Caenorhabditis elegans: one gene and its partner. The protein of the gene in region 1 interacts with the protein of each later gene in a pairwise test. Each region holds a gene or a part of one and is shown in the gene's direction. Other genes may lie near its edges.

Evidence for each region. The genes of interacting proteins can lie anywhere in the genome.
Region 2: the proteins of magu-4 (region 1) and alp-1 interact in a two-hybrid assay, tested with the Caenorhabditis elegans proteins (3 studies listed by BioGRID).

The regions. Positions count from the first base shown.
Region 1 is NC_003282.8:10,007,894-10,014,754, forward strand, and holds magu-4 (PDZ domain-containing protein), read left to right. Parts: upstream 1-1,859; 5' UTR 1,860-1,922; coding exon 1,923-2,209; intron 2,210-2,569; coding exon 2,570-2,747; intron 2,748-2,789; coding exon 2,790-3,035; intron 3,036-3,113; coding exon 3,114-3,399; intron 3,400-3,442; coding exon 3,443-3,690; intron 3,691-3,740; coding exon 3,741-3,976; intron 3,977-4,020; coding exon 4,021-4,191; intron 4,192-4,244; coding exon 4,245-4,555; intron 4,556-4,600; coding exon 4,601-4,849; intron 4,850-4,895; coding exon 4,896-5,598; intron 5,599-5,641; coding exon 5,642-5,816; intron 5,817-6,006; coding exon 6,007-6,102; exon of another isoform or gene 6,103-6,152; coding exon 6,153-6,221; 3' UTR 6,222-6,314; downstream 6,315-6,861. Other genes in the region: F44D12.2 (DUF7622 domain-containing protein), read right to left, coding at 6,352-6,469, 6,513-6,628.
Region 2 is NC_003282.8:8,850,676-8,855,550, forward strand, and holds the start of alp-1 (PDZ and LIM domain protein Zasp), read left to right. Parts: upstream 1-1,824; 5' UTR 1,825-1,838; coding exon 1,839-1,937; intron 1,938-2,443; coding exon 2,444-2,589; intron 2,590-3,854; exon of another isoform or gene 3,855-3,870; coding exon of another isoform or gene 3,871-3,902; intron 3,903-3,984; coding exon 3,985-4,093; intron 4,094-4,223; coding exon 4,224-4,381; intron 4,382-4,620; exon of another isoform or gene 4,621-4,680; coding exon of another isoform or gene 4,681-4,773; intron 4,774-4,817; coding exon of another isoform or gene 4,818-4,875. Other genes in the region: T11B7.5 (uncharacterized protein), read right to left, coding at 4,681-4,773, 4,818-4,875.

The DNA.
Region 1 (6,861 bases):
GAGCGTGTTTGTCCATGCGTCCCATTCGTACAGTTTCTTTGGTTGTCTACCTAAACTCTCTTGTTTTCAAACACTATTTCACCCACCTTCTCCCGCATTTCTCTTTCACTTTCCGGGAGGAACTGTTCGTTCGTCGTGCGCCCATCGCAACCGACCTGTATCTGTATGTATCCTCTCATTTCTCTCTAATAACCTACTTCTCTTCAATCTACTTGGATACATGATTTGTTATGAAATGTTTTATCTTTTATTATTTCATGAAGTTAGAATGTTCCTTATGAAATTGAGTTTACCATCAGAAGTGGATTAGAATTTAGTCAATGGGATTTCAACTACATTTAAATCTCAGCTATGTATTAAAGATAAAATCATTTTCACAGAAATTTTCTATGAATTGTTACTGATAAACGTCTATTTGTAAATTGTCAACATGCTGTGAAATACACCTAGGACTACTAGCCTGAAATTATTCCTCAACTCCAGTGATAGGTTTCTTTGGTATATCACCCTAAAAACTAGTTACACCTGCCTCGTAGGCACGAAAGTAGGCACCCTCTATTTGCATGGAAGCCCTATTATATTATAGGTAATTTTTCAGATTCACAAGAATGACATGTAGTTCAAGTTCAATTAAAATTCCTACATAAAATTCCCTACTCCTTCTCCTACTCTTTTCATTTTTCTATTTCATCTCAATTCAATTTGAACAAACTTCAAACAATTCGTTTCACACATCACAAACATTGTAAATACACATATATCGTTTGTTGAAAAAAGTCATGTGGGTTTTTAAGGTTAAAGTTTAACCGATTTTATTACACTATCTCTCACGGTTGAAATATTCAAAATAATATTTTCTTCTAGAAAACAGCGTTTCTACATATTCTGTTAAAGCTAACGGCCTAAATTTTAAATCGACTCTATTTTTAAAAAATTGATCAGGTTACCAACTAGCGATGTTTTATATTTTGTTCAAAGGTAGGAGCTCCAAAGTTTGTCAAAAGTCAAAAAAAAAAGCTTAAAGTTTACCAAGAGCCAAGTAAAAATTTATATTATCGAAACATGGAAAAACGTATCAAAACATAGTTTTTTGTTAAGATTCTCTGCCTTGTATGTTTGTATTTGAGGCGATGATGATGGCAAGACTCGTATGTTTATTCTTTTCCTTTTCCTGCAAACTCGTCTTTTAACGGATTATTTCGGACCCATGCACCGCCCATCTTGACCGTATTAAGACAGTTTTTGTGTGAATTTTCGTTGGATCGAAACACTGTGAGTATTGTTTTTATTTTGAAATATATGGATCTTATAATCTGAATGTTCAGTTGGAATATCGCAGTGTGGCTTTTGATCTCCGCACACACTTCATCTGATTGGTATAAAAATATGTGGAACAAATTACTGATTATTTTCACAGTTTTCATTTTGAAAGAAATTCAAACAGTGAGCTTAGTCAGGTTTTGGGAAAATCGTTATCGAAAGTTGAGTTTTTCAGTATTTCTAGTTTTTTTAGTGTTTCGTTTGTGGTATATGTTCCTTCATTTCATTAGCAAAACAATAACGTTGGTCTGTATTTCAAAAATCTGTCATGTATTTCCAAAAGAATATTTAAAAACATCTCGTTTCTATTTTCAAGTGCCTCTATTTTCATTCTTGTAGTAACCTTCAAATTCCAACTAATTTTAACTGTTAATTGAAGGAAATTTCTTCAAATTGTGTTATTTCTAATTCACCCGTCTTCTTCTTTTCCTCCATCTATTCCATACGAACCGAATGAACAAATCAGTGTGATATTCCTGCGCATTCGACCGGTTTCTCACTTATTTTCTTTCTATCTTTTCTCCTATTCCATCTTCTATAATTAGTCCTTTCCGTATGTCGTCCAGTTGACCCATTTCTCCGTTTTTCATTCAGAATTCTATATGGTAGAAGTGGAAGCAAAACCGTCGAGTTTGTCAGTTGAAGAGGATGAAAATGAAAATGAAGAGGAAAAGCTTGAAGATGTGGAAAAAGAGAAATTAGTGAAACAGTTAAAGTTTGAAAAAGCAGAACGAAGACGGATTGCAGAGGAAATGGAAAAAGAGATTCGAGAAGTTGAGGCAAAATGGATGGAAAAAGTTAGAAAAGCATCTGAAGAGCGAGATGATATTGGAAAGAAAATTGATGAGTTTGAAGAGAAAATTGATAGTCTACAAATACAAGTACATAGGTTAGTTCATGATTTAAATCACTAGAAAAGCTCAAAAATGTTTATTGAAAATTAAAAAGACCTGGAATTGGTACCAAAATGTATATGATAAGTGGTAGTTAACTTCCTGAAATTTCGAAATAAAATCAATATGTCATTTTTGAGAGAATTTGTTGGTGCACTTTAAACTAGAGAATTGTCGATCTGAAACTTTTCGGGCCAGTTTTTAATCATAATGATGTTGTAAAAAATTTGAATGGCTTTAAAAATTTGAAATTCAAGTTTTTTTAAACGTTCGAAAATAATTTTCAGCAGAAGAAAACTAATAAATATTTAAAAACCATTGGAAAATGGCCCGTTATGAAAAAAAATATATTTCAGAAGTGAAACATATAAAATGGAAATTGAAGAAGCGAACAAACGGCTACGGTTACAATATGAAGCTCTCCAGAGAGATTATGAGGAAACAATGCAGGAAAGAAGTATTGTATTAGAAGAAAACTCTCGTCAAAATGAAGAGAGGGATCGACTGCAAAAAGAAATTGAAAAAATGAAAGAGGTTTGATTTTACAATGACAATCAAATTAAAAAAAAATTTCAGGATTCTGAAGAAGTTGCTGCATTAAAACAGAAACTTGAAAATACAAGAAGACTCTTGAAAGTCAATATGGAAGAAACTGCTCAGGCAAATGCTCGAAAAGAAGCTGCAATTGCAAGGCTTACAGAAGCAGAACAAAATGGAGCTAGAATTACAGAAGAAAGAGATGAAGCTTTGAGAAAATGTCAACAGACAACTGGAGATGCAATTGTGGATATTTGGAATACTCATTCTGTTCAAATTAATTTGGTAAGTTGAAAGAAAACTCATTTCAATCGTTTCGTTTCAGACAGCCAAGATAAAAATTAAAAACGAAATTAATTTCAGCCCTTCAACAAACCAAACTTGGGAATTATGCTTGGTGGAGGCCGTACGGACGATGGTTCAATTGTTCATGGTCCAATATATGTTAGACAAATTGCTCACGGTTCTCCATTTGATAATGTATTGAAAAAGCTGGATCATATAATGATGGTCAATGACATATCTGTAACAGATATGGACGAAAGAAGTGTAATGGGAATGTTATCCAACTGTCATCACATTCATCTTGTTATTAGAAGAAGATCAAATTGCAATAAAATTAGTGATGTTTGTCTGCCATTGAACTATGGTGAGTTACTTATTACATTTAAGAGTGTAGTTTTACATTTCAGGTGTAGGTCTTGAACTATCCAATGGAGTATTCATTAATTCCTGCGAACCAAACGGTGCTGCTTCTCGTAGTGGATTGGCTCCAGGGCAACGAGTTGTTCATGTTATGCACACTCCTGTTTATGATGCTAAACATGCTGAGATGCTAATTAAAAATTCTCGAGAGCCTCTAGTCATTGGAATTCTTCAATCTACTAAACGAGGTGATCATAATGGAAAGGATAAACATCGACAAACTATATTTTCGAGGGTAAACCTTCGTTATAAAATGCTAGTGAAACTTTAGTATTCTTGTTTCAGTGGTTCAGTCGAAATGGTGGATCTGATAAAGAGCGAACTGTTGTTGCAAAAGCGAATATTGATCGTTCAAATGATCAAGTTCTTCTTCGTCAGGGATCTCTGCGAATGCCACAAGCTTCTCCAGCATCAATGAGTCCCTTGGTACGGTATGGTTCTCTACGTGCTCCAACCTATTCAAGTAGCATTGATCATACAAAATTAATGCTGGATGCACTGGATAAAAGATTCAATGCAAAGTTAGTTTCCTTCAAATTTGATTACTACAAAGTTGAATGTTCAGATCCACAGCGCATTCTGAAATAAGTTCATCTTCAACAGCCGCTCCAACAGCTTTATGGAGCCCATCTTCAGTTAATGAAAAAGATCTCGTATTTGCTGGAACCAATATCGAAGGAGTTCCAGTATATGTTCCTAAGAGTACCATATTTAGCACACCAACGTCACCTGTGACGTAAGATTCTTGACATTTTTAGTCAAAAAAAAGAAGAAAACTCTGACTTTCAGAAGACTAATCCGTCAAAATAGTGAGCAAAAACGAACAATGTCTCAAATATCATCTCATCGAGGAGGATGGGATGGAAGAAGCTTTTCATCGAACACGACAACTTCAGATGCTCGTCCATATTCTATGCACTTCACACCTACATCATCAACTATAATGGAAGGAAAACCCCACAGAAGATCAGCTGTTTACAGTCCAAGTCATCCACCAGTATATCCTACAATTCGGGATGACTCTATGTCTTCTGTTATGTCTTCGAGTAACTCCATTCGACTTCCAAGCACAAGTTTTTCCAATCAGTATCCTAATAATTGTAGGTTTTCAAAAGTTAACTGCTGTAGTCTAGAAATTGTTTCAGCTACCTGCAGCTTGACTGGAGGGAGTGGAGTACCTCCACGTCATTGCATAAGTAAAGATGGAAGTGATTTTTCAATTTCAACAACTGGAAGTGCAATGCACAGTTACGCTGAGGGAAGATCCAATAAGAAATATCACTTGCCACGTGGAAATCATCACTCTGAATCTCTTCTTGTAAACCGTTCATCTCAACCGAGACTGGTCGAGGTTCCAAGAAGTGATGTAAAACTTTGTGGTGGAAATGCGATTGGTACGAGAAAGCAATTCATGTCAAAATAATCTCCGCTATATTTTAGGTATCCTCGCTGAAAAATCAATTGGTTCTGACCTTCTCGAAGGAGATCTCATTTTATCAATCGATGGAAATTGCGTTCGAAATACAACACTCGAGTGTGCAATGAATACTTTATCAGCTGATAATTCGGAGTTAACAGGTCTTCTAGTTCAAGACGGTGGAGATCGATTGAATCGTTTGAGACTTGGAGCTGACGGTGACAGTTTCTTCCTTCGTGTTAATATCGATAGATCAATGGAGAACAAAGATGAACTGGATTTAAAATGTGGTGATGTTGTTTTCGTTGACAAGACTATGTTAATGGGCAAAACTGGAAGATGGAGAGCATGGAAAGTGGACAAAGAGGGACGACAAAGAGAACATGGAGCTATTCCAAGTTCAACGACTGTTTATCAGGCAATTCGAGCTAACAGATATGCAAATCCGTTCCCGAAGAAGGCTTATGAGTGGGTTGAGAAGTTGGATACAAAAGTGAAACGACCGGTTCTTTTGTTTGGAGCAGTTGTTGAGCCTTTCCTTCAAATGCTTGTTGATGAATCTGATAAGTTTTCAATTGTTGCAAGAGAGTCTTTAACTGCAAGTTTGGATGAAGTATCGGCTTTATTGAAGGATAAAGTATTGATTGATTCGAAACAAAACGATGATGTTTATGATCTTTATCACGTCGTATCAACTGCTCATATTATGGATATCACGGCTCAAGGGTTGAGTTTTCAAACATTTTCATAGTTATGCTGAGATTTTCAGACTCCATTGTGTCCTCCAAGTTGATCAGTCTGCAATTGATCGATTGAAAAGATGTAGAATGTTCCCTATTCTTGTGAAGATTCGATTCAAGTCAGTTAAACAGTTAAAAGATGTCAATGAACATATTTGTGGAGAGAAAATCAGTTCAAAAGAAGCCAAACAGCTTATTGAAAAGGTACGGTAATTTACGAAAACATAATTAACCCGCCCGGTCTCTACCGTCGTCTCATTGCCTCTCATCCAAAAACGCAGCGGGCAATTGAAGAGGCGGATCAGAGGCTCTCATCGGAGTCTATAGAAACTTTTCACAATACTTTTTCGAAACTTTTCAAAAAATTTTCGATATACCAATAATTAATTTTCAGGATTTGAAAATAGAAAAAGATCTTGATGGATCAGTTACACTTGTAGTGCCAAGTCATAATAATGTCAGCTTCATGATGACTCACGCTGTTCTACAGGTAATTATTCTTTCAATTCGTGCCGCACTTAACTTTTTATTATTTTTCAGCTGAAAAAAATAATTGAAGACGAGCAGAAAAAAATCGTATGGGTTCAAAGAAAAGTCGATGAAGAATAAATAATATTGAGAAAGAGAACATAGAATCTCCGGTGCTTTTATTGTTTGAAAATGAAGTAATTTGAAGAAATATAAATTTGTTCATATGAAAATATTGAAAGCATTTGTAAAAATGAAAGAAAAAGGTGGTTCAGTGGAAAAGGCAATAATTAATTAGAAAAACGATGGGAATGGCAAGAAAAATCGAGGATGACGAGCGAGCGGAGTCGATGTAGAAAACATTGAACTCTCGGAGATTTGATATATTTCTGAAATAATCAAAATTATTTCTCAGTTGTCAAGAGTCACAACCTGTATAAATATAGCTCAGGTGGCCAAGAGAGTTCAGCTGATTTGAGATCAGCATTACAGTAAGATTGATCACAAATCCATTGCTCTAAGCCAGTGTATGCACGGGTGTAGCCAATCTGAAAGCAATAATTCGTAAAAATCTGAAATCTGATAATAATCGTTTAACGTCTAATTACATCATCAGTTCATTTTTTAAAGTTCTTTAAAAATTATCAGAAACATGTTCGAAATTTTATCCAAAATTTTCATAAATTCGAGTCGATAATTATTTTCTGTTTTATTTAAGGCTCAAAAGGATTTTTGAAAAATTATGTGGGTTTTAGATACTGCAATTCATAATTTTTTAATT
Region 2 (4,875 bases), 1.2 Mb from region 1:
GTATAATATATTTATAATTCCGCTCATGGCTCATTTTTGGCATAAACTTGGTAATGTAAACGTTTTGTGATTTGAAAAAACCCTATACTTCATACCACAAACTACTCTAACAAGTGTTCATACTTTTATGTCTCAAGCTCTTTCAAACAAATCGCACTTTTGTTCCAAATTTCTTCTCATTTTCGTCTCGGTCTTCTTATCATCCCATCCCCCTCCCCTTTTCGTTGATAATCAGCAACGCGCACTCGCTTTACTACAAACACGTCCAATACCTGCGCCTCCTCAAAATCATCCCTATATCATTCCGAGAGCTCCCCCGGCTCTCGGGAGCTCAAGAGGAGATGGCCATGAAGTGCGAGAAGGCTTCCCGCGCCGGGAAGAGCGAGAGAATGTCAGAGTTCGAGCGAGAGGATGTGCTCACGCCCGCGCGTGCCGTACACCGTTGGGCCTGAAGCTTTATCCGCACAGACCTCAGAACAGCAGAACCCCCACCTCCGCAACACAACACCAAGTTGATTTTTTGGAATTTTTTTTTGGAACTCAACCGTCTTAATTTATACATTAGTTCTGTATACTTCTAGACTTGATACAATGCAATTTCAACCTAAAATTGAAGATGTAATCTGAAATCACCCATCTCATATAAGAAAACAATGTTTAAAACTACTTTTTAGATTATGAACGGCAATCTACCAATGCCTAAGGTTGGCACGGTTTTTTTTGAATAAAACTTGTACTCTGCAATTCGATAAATGTATTTAGGATCATGTAAGATTGTTTTTTGCCAACATTTTAGCTCACATACGATAGATCTCTAGGAAGTTTAGTTCAGAACGTCATTCGTGGTATTTTGTGTTTATAATTATTTTTTACTTCAAAGCAAGTAGCATTACCAGATTGTTCAAATAGTTCTTTTTTGGTTGGTTTGTAGGACTTTAATACTAATGTTCAAGTTGCAAACGGAGATACAGGACTTCATGTTAAAAATCGTTAGCTTTGTTGTTATAAAACTTTATGTTATAAAACTTTCATAAGTTTATGTAGATTGGCCTACAAAAAGTATCACCTCTTTAAAAGTTTAAAAAATGTTACTGGCAGTTAGAAATAAAACTACAAAACTGGGGTAATATACGGTGTTCATTATGAAACACACTGATTATGAAAAAAAAATTGGAAAAAACTAAAATTTCAATTATTGGGTGTGGTATCGTTTTTTAAACGTAGTTTAAAACTATATGTTCCGTTAAACGATAAGAGTTCCATAAAAAAAATTAACTGTCAATCACGAATGACTCATCGAATCAGAAAACTCGTTATGCTCAGTTTCATAATTTCAATTGAATTTCTTTATTAATTTTAAATAAAACATCTTACTTTTTCAACAATCTTTTTTTTTCTGTTGTAGTCATTCACTACCATTTCCCCCGTCAAATTGCCCGACAGTCGATAAATATACAAAATCCAGCATAATCTCACTCTCCCTTCTTTTACTCTTATTTTCTATTTTGCACTATACGGAAAACAATACGATTTTTTTGTTTTCAATTTTTAATTAAAAGTAAAAATTCAAAATGTCAAAATGTTTGCAAAATTTTTCATCTATAAACGCCACGTGGTTATTGAAGATTTCGTGTAACTATTGGACTGAAACGTTTGCGCTTTAGCAAATAACTGCGTTTGAAGTGGTACACATTTGAAACAAAATGAATATTTTCGGTTGGACAATATTTTTTTAAACATGTTCTACTAAATTCTGTTTGAAACTTTGATTTATTTTTATTTGTTTCGCTCTATTTTATTGACCAGGACACAATAAAATTTCAGGTAGTCAAATCAAGATGGAACGTGTGACCGTTCGAATGGCTCGTTCGGATCGCCGAACTCCATGGGGGTTCGGTGTGACAGAAGCCCCAGATGGAGCTGTTCTTATTGTTAATGTAAGCTCTTTATTATAAATTTAGTATAAGTGTCCCCCTATTTGTCATAAAGTAGTTTGTCAGTTTGTCCAAATTGAATCACAATAAAATTTGTCGTAAAAATTAGTCTTGAGGCATATGTTTTCGTATACATTTAATACAAAAACCAAGAAAACCCATCACATTCACTTTTAGCACCTCTAGGTTCTTACCGCGATCTCAAAAATCACCGCATCACCACAACTGATTTACAATCTCATCGCCTTCCTCACTTTCTCTCGCAGTTTTATCCTCTGGACATGCCCAGGGAAAATCGGAAGAGCAACACAAAAAACATCACTTATTACAATAAGTTAGATGCTTTCAAAATTTCTCTCAAAACTCATAGACAAAATGTAGTGAGAGATTAGTCGTTAACGTAAGAAAAAATGAATTTGAAAAATTGACATGCGTTGGGGGATTTTTTAAAGCAAAGGGAGCCTTCAATTCAAACAAGTTGAATATCGAATAAAAGTTGAAAATTTCAGGTAATAGGTGGTAGCTTAGCTGATCGTGCCGGTCTTCGTAATGGAGATGTTGTTGATCGTTTGGAAGATCTTGACAATTTGGACATAAACGCTGTTGATAGACTTCTAGTTACAGCTCATGAGAAGATTGAACTTATTGTTACCAGGTAACTCATCTCGTTAAACACTTCAAATTTATCAGTATAGCACCAATTATTCAAAATTTGTGTCGACCACAATAAATAAAAATTATATATAAACAGAGCAGGTGTGTGAAAATAATAAGAAAGACATAATTTTCTCGAATATTTCCCCTAAATCGATCCCTTGAAAATGTACACAACCCTAGTTATGTAATCTGTAGCTTTGTTATCACAACGCAATTCAAAGTAGGTTACTTACCAGTTTGTATTTCCGTTTATTAACCAGTCAAAGTGTTCTCCGTTTTAATCACATCACCAATGTATCCTACCTTTCCGTTTTTAATCCGTCTGCGTCTTAGTTTATCTCCAACAGCAAGTGCTTCATGCAATAGAATATAGATATCCAAAATTTTCGAAGCGAACACCCGCCATATAAACAGGCGAACAGATAAGAATCAGGCCAATCGGTACGGGGGAAGCAGAAGGCAACATTCTTCCGAATATCTCGTTGCAGGAAGAAGGAGGGACTTAGGATTTATACATACATATTCCGTTTGATGACAAATCGTTGCAACTGTTTTGAACTGTTTTGAAACGGTCAAATGTCCCAATCAATGTTTTCTTTAGCTTTGCAACAGCTTTGCAACACAAGTTTTGCTCCTCTTATAAGCACTCTAATGTCATTAAATTTGAAGCTCGTTACCTTTTTCCCTCAAAAATCATTCTGTGTTGATAGTTTTAACAAGCTTCAGATATTTTTGCCCCTTTAAACTTATTTTTGAGCACTTTTTACATAAGCAACTGCAAAAAAAGTTGCATGGAAAAATGTTATAGAATTGCCAAAAATAACTGCCACAGCATTCAAGATTCTTTCCAAAACTGCTGTATAGTTTTAAGAAATACCAAAACAAAACAGTTTGACAATTATTATTATTTTGGCTTTTACTTTTCCCGAATTCGCATAATTTTCTCCTGAATGTTATGTTTTACTTTGAACAGTTGAATTTTAAATAAATAGGGTTTTAATGATGAGTCAGTTCATGACAAAGCAATGTACTTCTGACACTGTTCTTTTTATTTCATTCTCTGTTGTTGTATCAGAGTGTTCCAACAATTTATTCACCCTCTCGCACACAAAAACTGAGAGAATGAAATTGTTGAATACTTCCTCTCACATATTTCCCTTTTCCAGGTGTTTATCATTTTTGAACAAAAAAACTTGCAAGTTTCCTTTTTCTTTACGTTTACCCATTTTCCTATAAATATATTTCATGTTCAATTGAAATGATTTAAGATTCAAAAGTGATGGTGAGAATCACAACGACGCCAAGACCATGGTAATTTGAAATTTAATCGAAGAGATTAAATAGAAAATAAATAAATTTTGATTTCATTCATATCAAATAAGTTTAATTTCAGGCAACCATCCGGTGCAGCCACCAGAATTTGGCGTCCAGAAGTAACTGAAAATACTGGACCAGGACAGGATCAAACCCCATATCGTGTCAATTTGCAGCATAGCAGTGATGTGAGTCATTTGAGTTTTGTTTTGAAATAGGAAGCTTCACACAAAATCGTTATTTGTAATCGTTTTTAACGACAATAGCATAACATTTTTTAAAATTTCTAATAAATAGTGAATAATAAATTATTTTTAGACCCGTCCACCACAAGGTTTCAACAATTCAGCACTTCCTTTTGAAACAGATCAACGTGTGAAACATATGCAATACAATTCTCCATTGGGAATTTATTCCGATAAGTCTGCAGCTGAGCAATATGTTCAACAAACTCAAGGATTGGGAGATAATTCAGGGTGAGTGTTTTTTACATGACTAAATTTTTGAAAGAGCACTTATAGTTCAATTTGGCCAGAAAATATAGTATAAATTTAGTTCGGAAGTTGGCCTATATTTTACAAAAAAATTTCTTGAGACAAGTCATGGCCAAGCTTTGTTCACCCTTTACCAACTTCTGAACAAAATTCTTAGGTTTGGGGCAGTTGGGTCAGAAGTGGCGGTCGAATTCCGAGTCTCATAAATTAATCCAAAAATTACAAGACGTTAACGCTTTTTATCATTCAATTTCAAGAAACGAAAAACAAATTAAATGTATTTAAAATCCACGACGGCTTCTCATTTCTCTGAAAGCTGCAGTGAGGTTATCGATGAACAAAAGCTCGCGTTTCTTGCGCGGAAGGTAGTCTCCCTGAAAATTGATATTCTTTATCATAACAATTCAATCGAAATTACCGTGTCGAAACCTCCGGCGACAGCAGCTTTTCCTGCATCATCTGTAGCATCAGTTTTA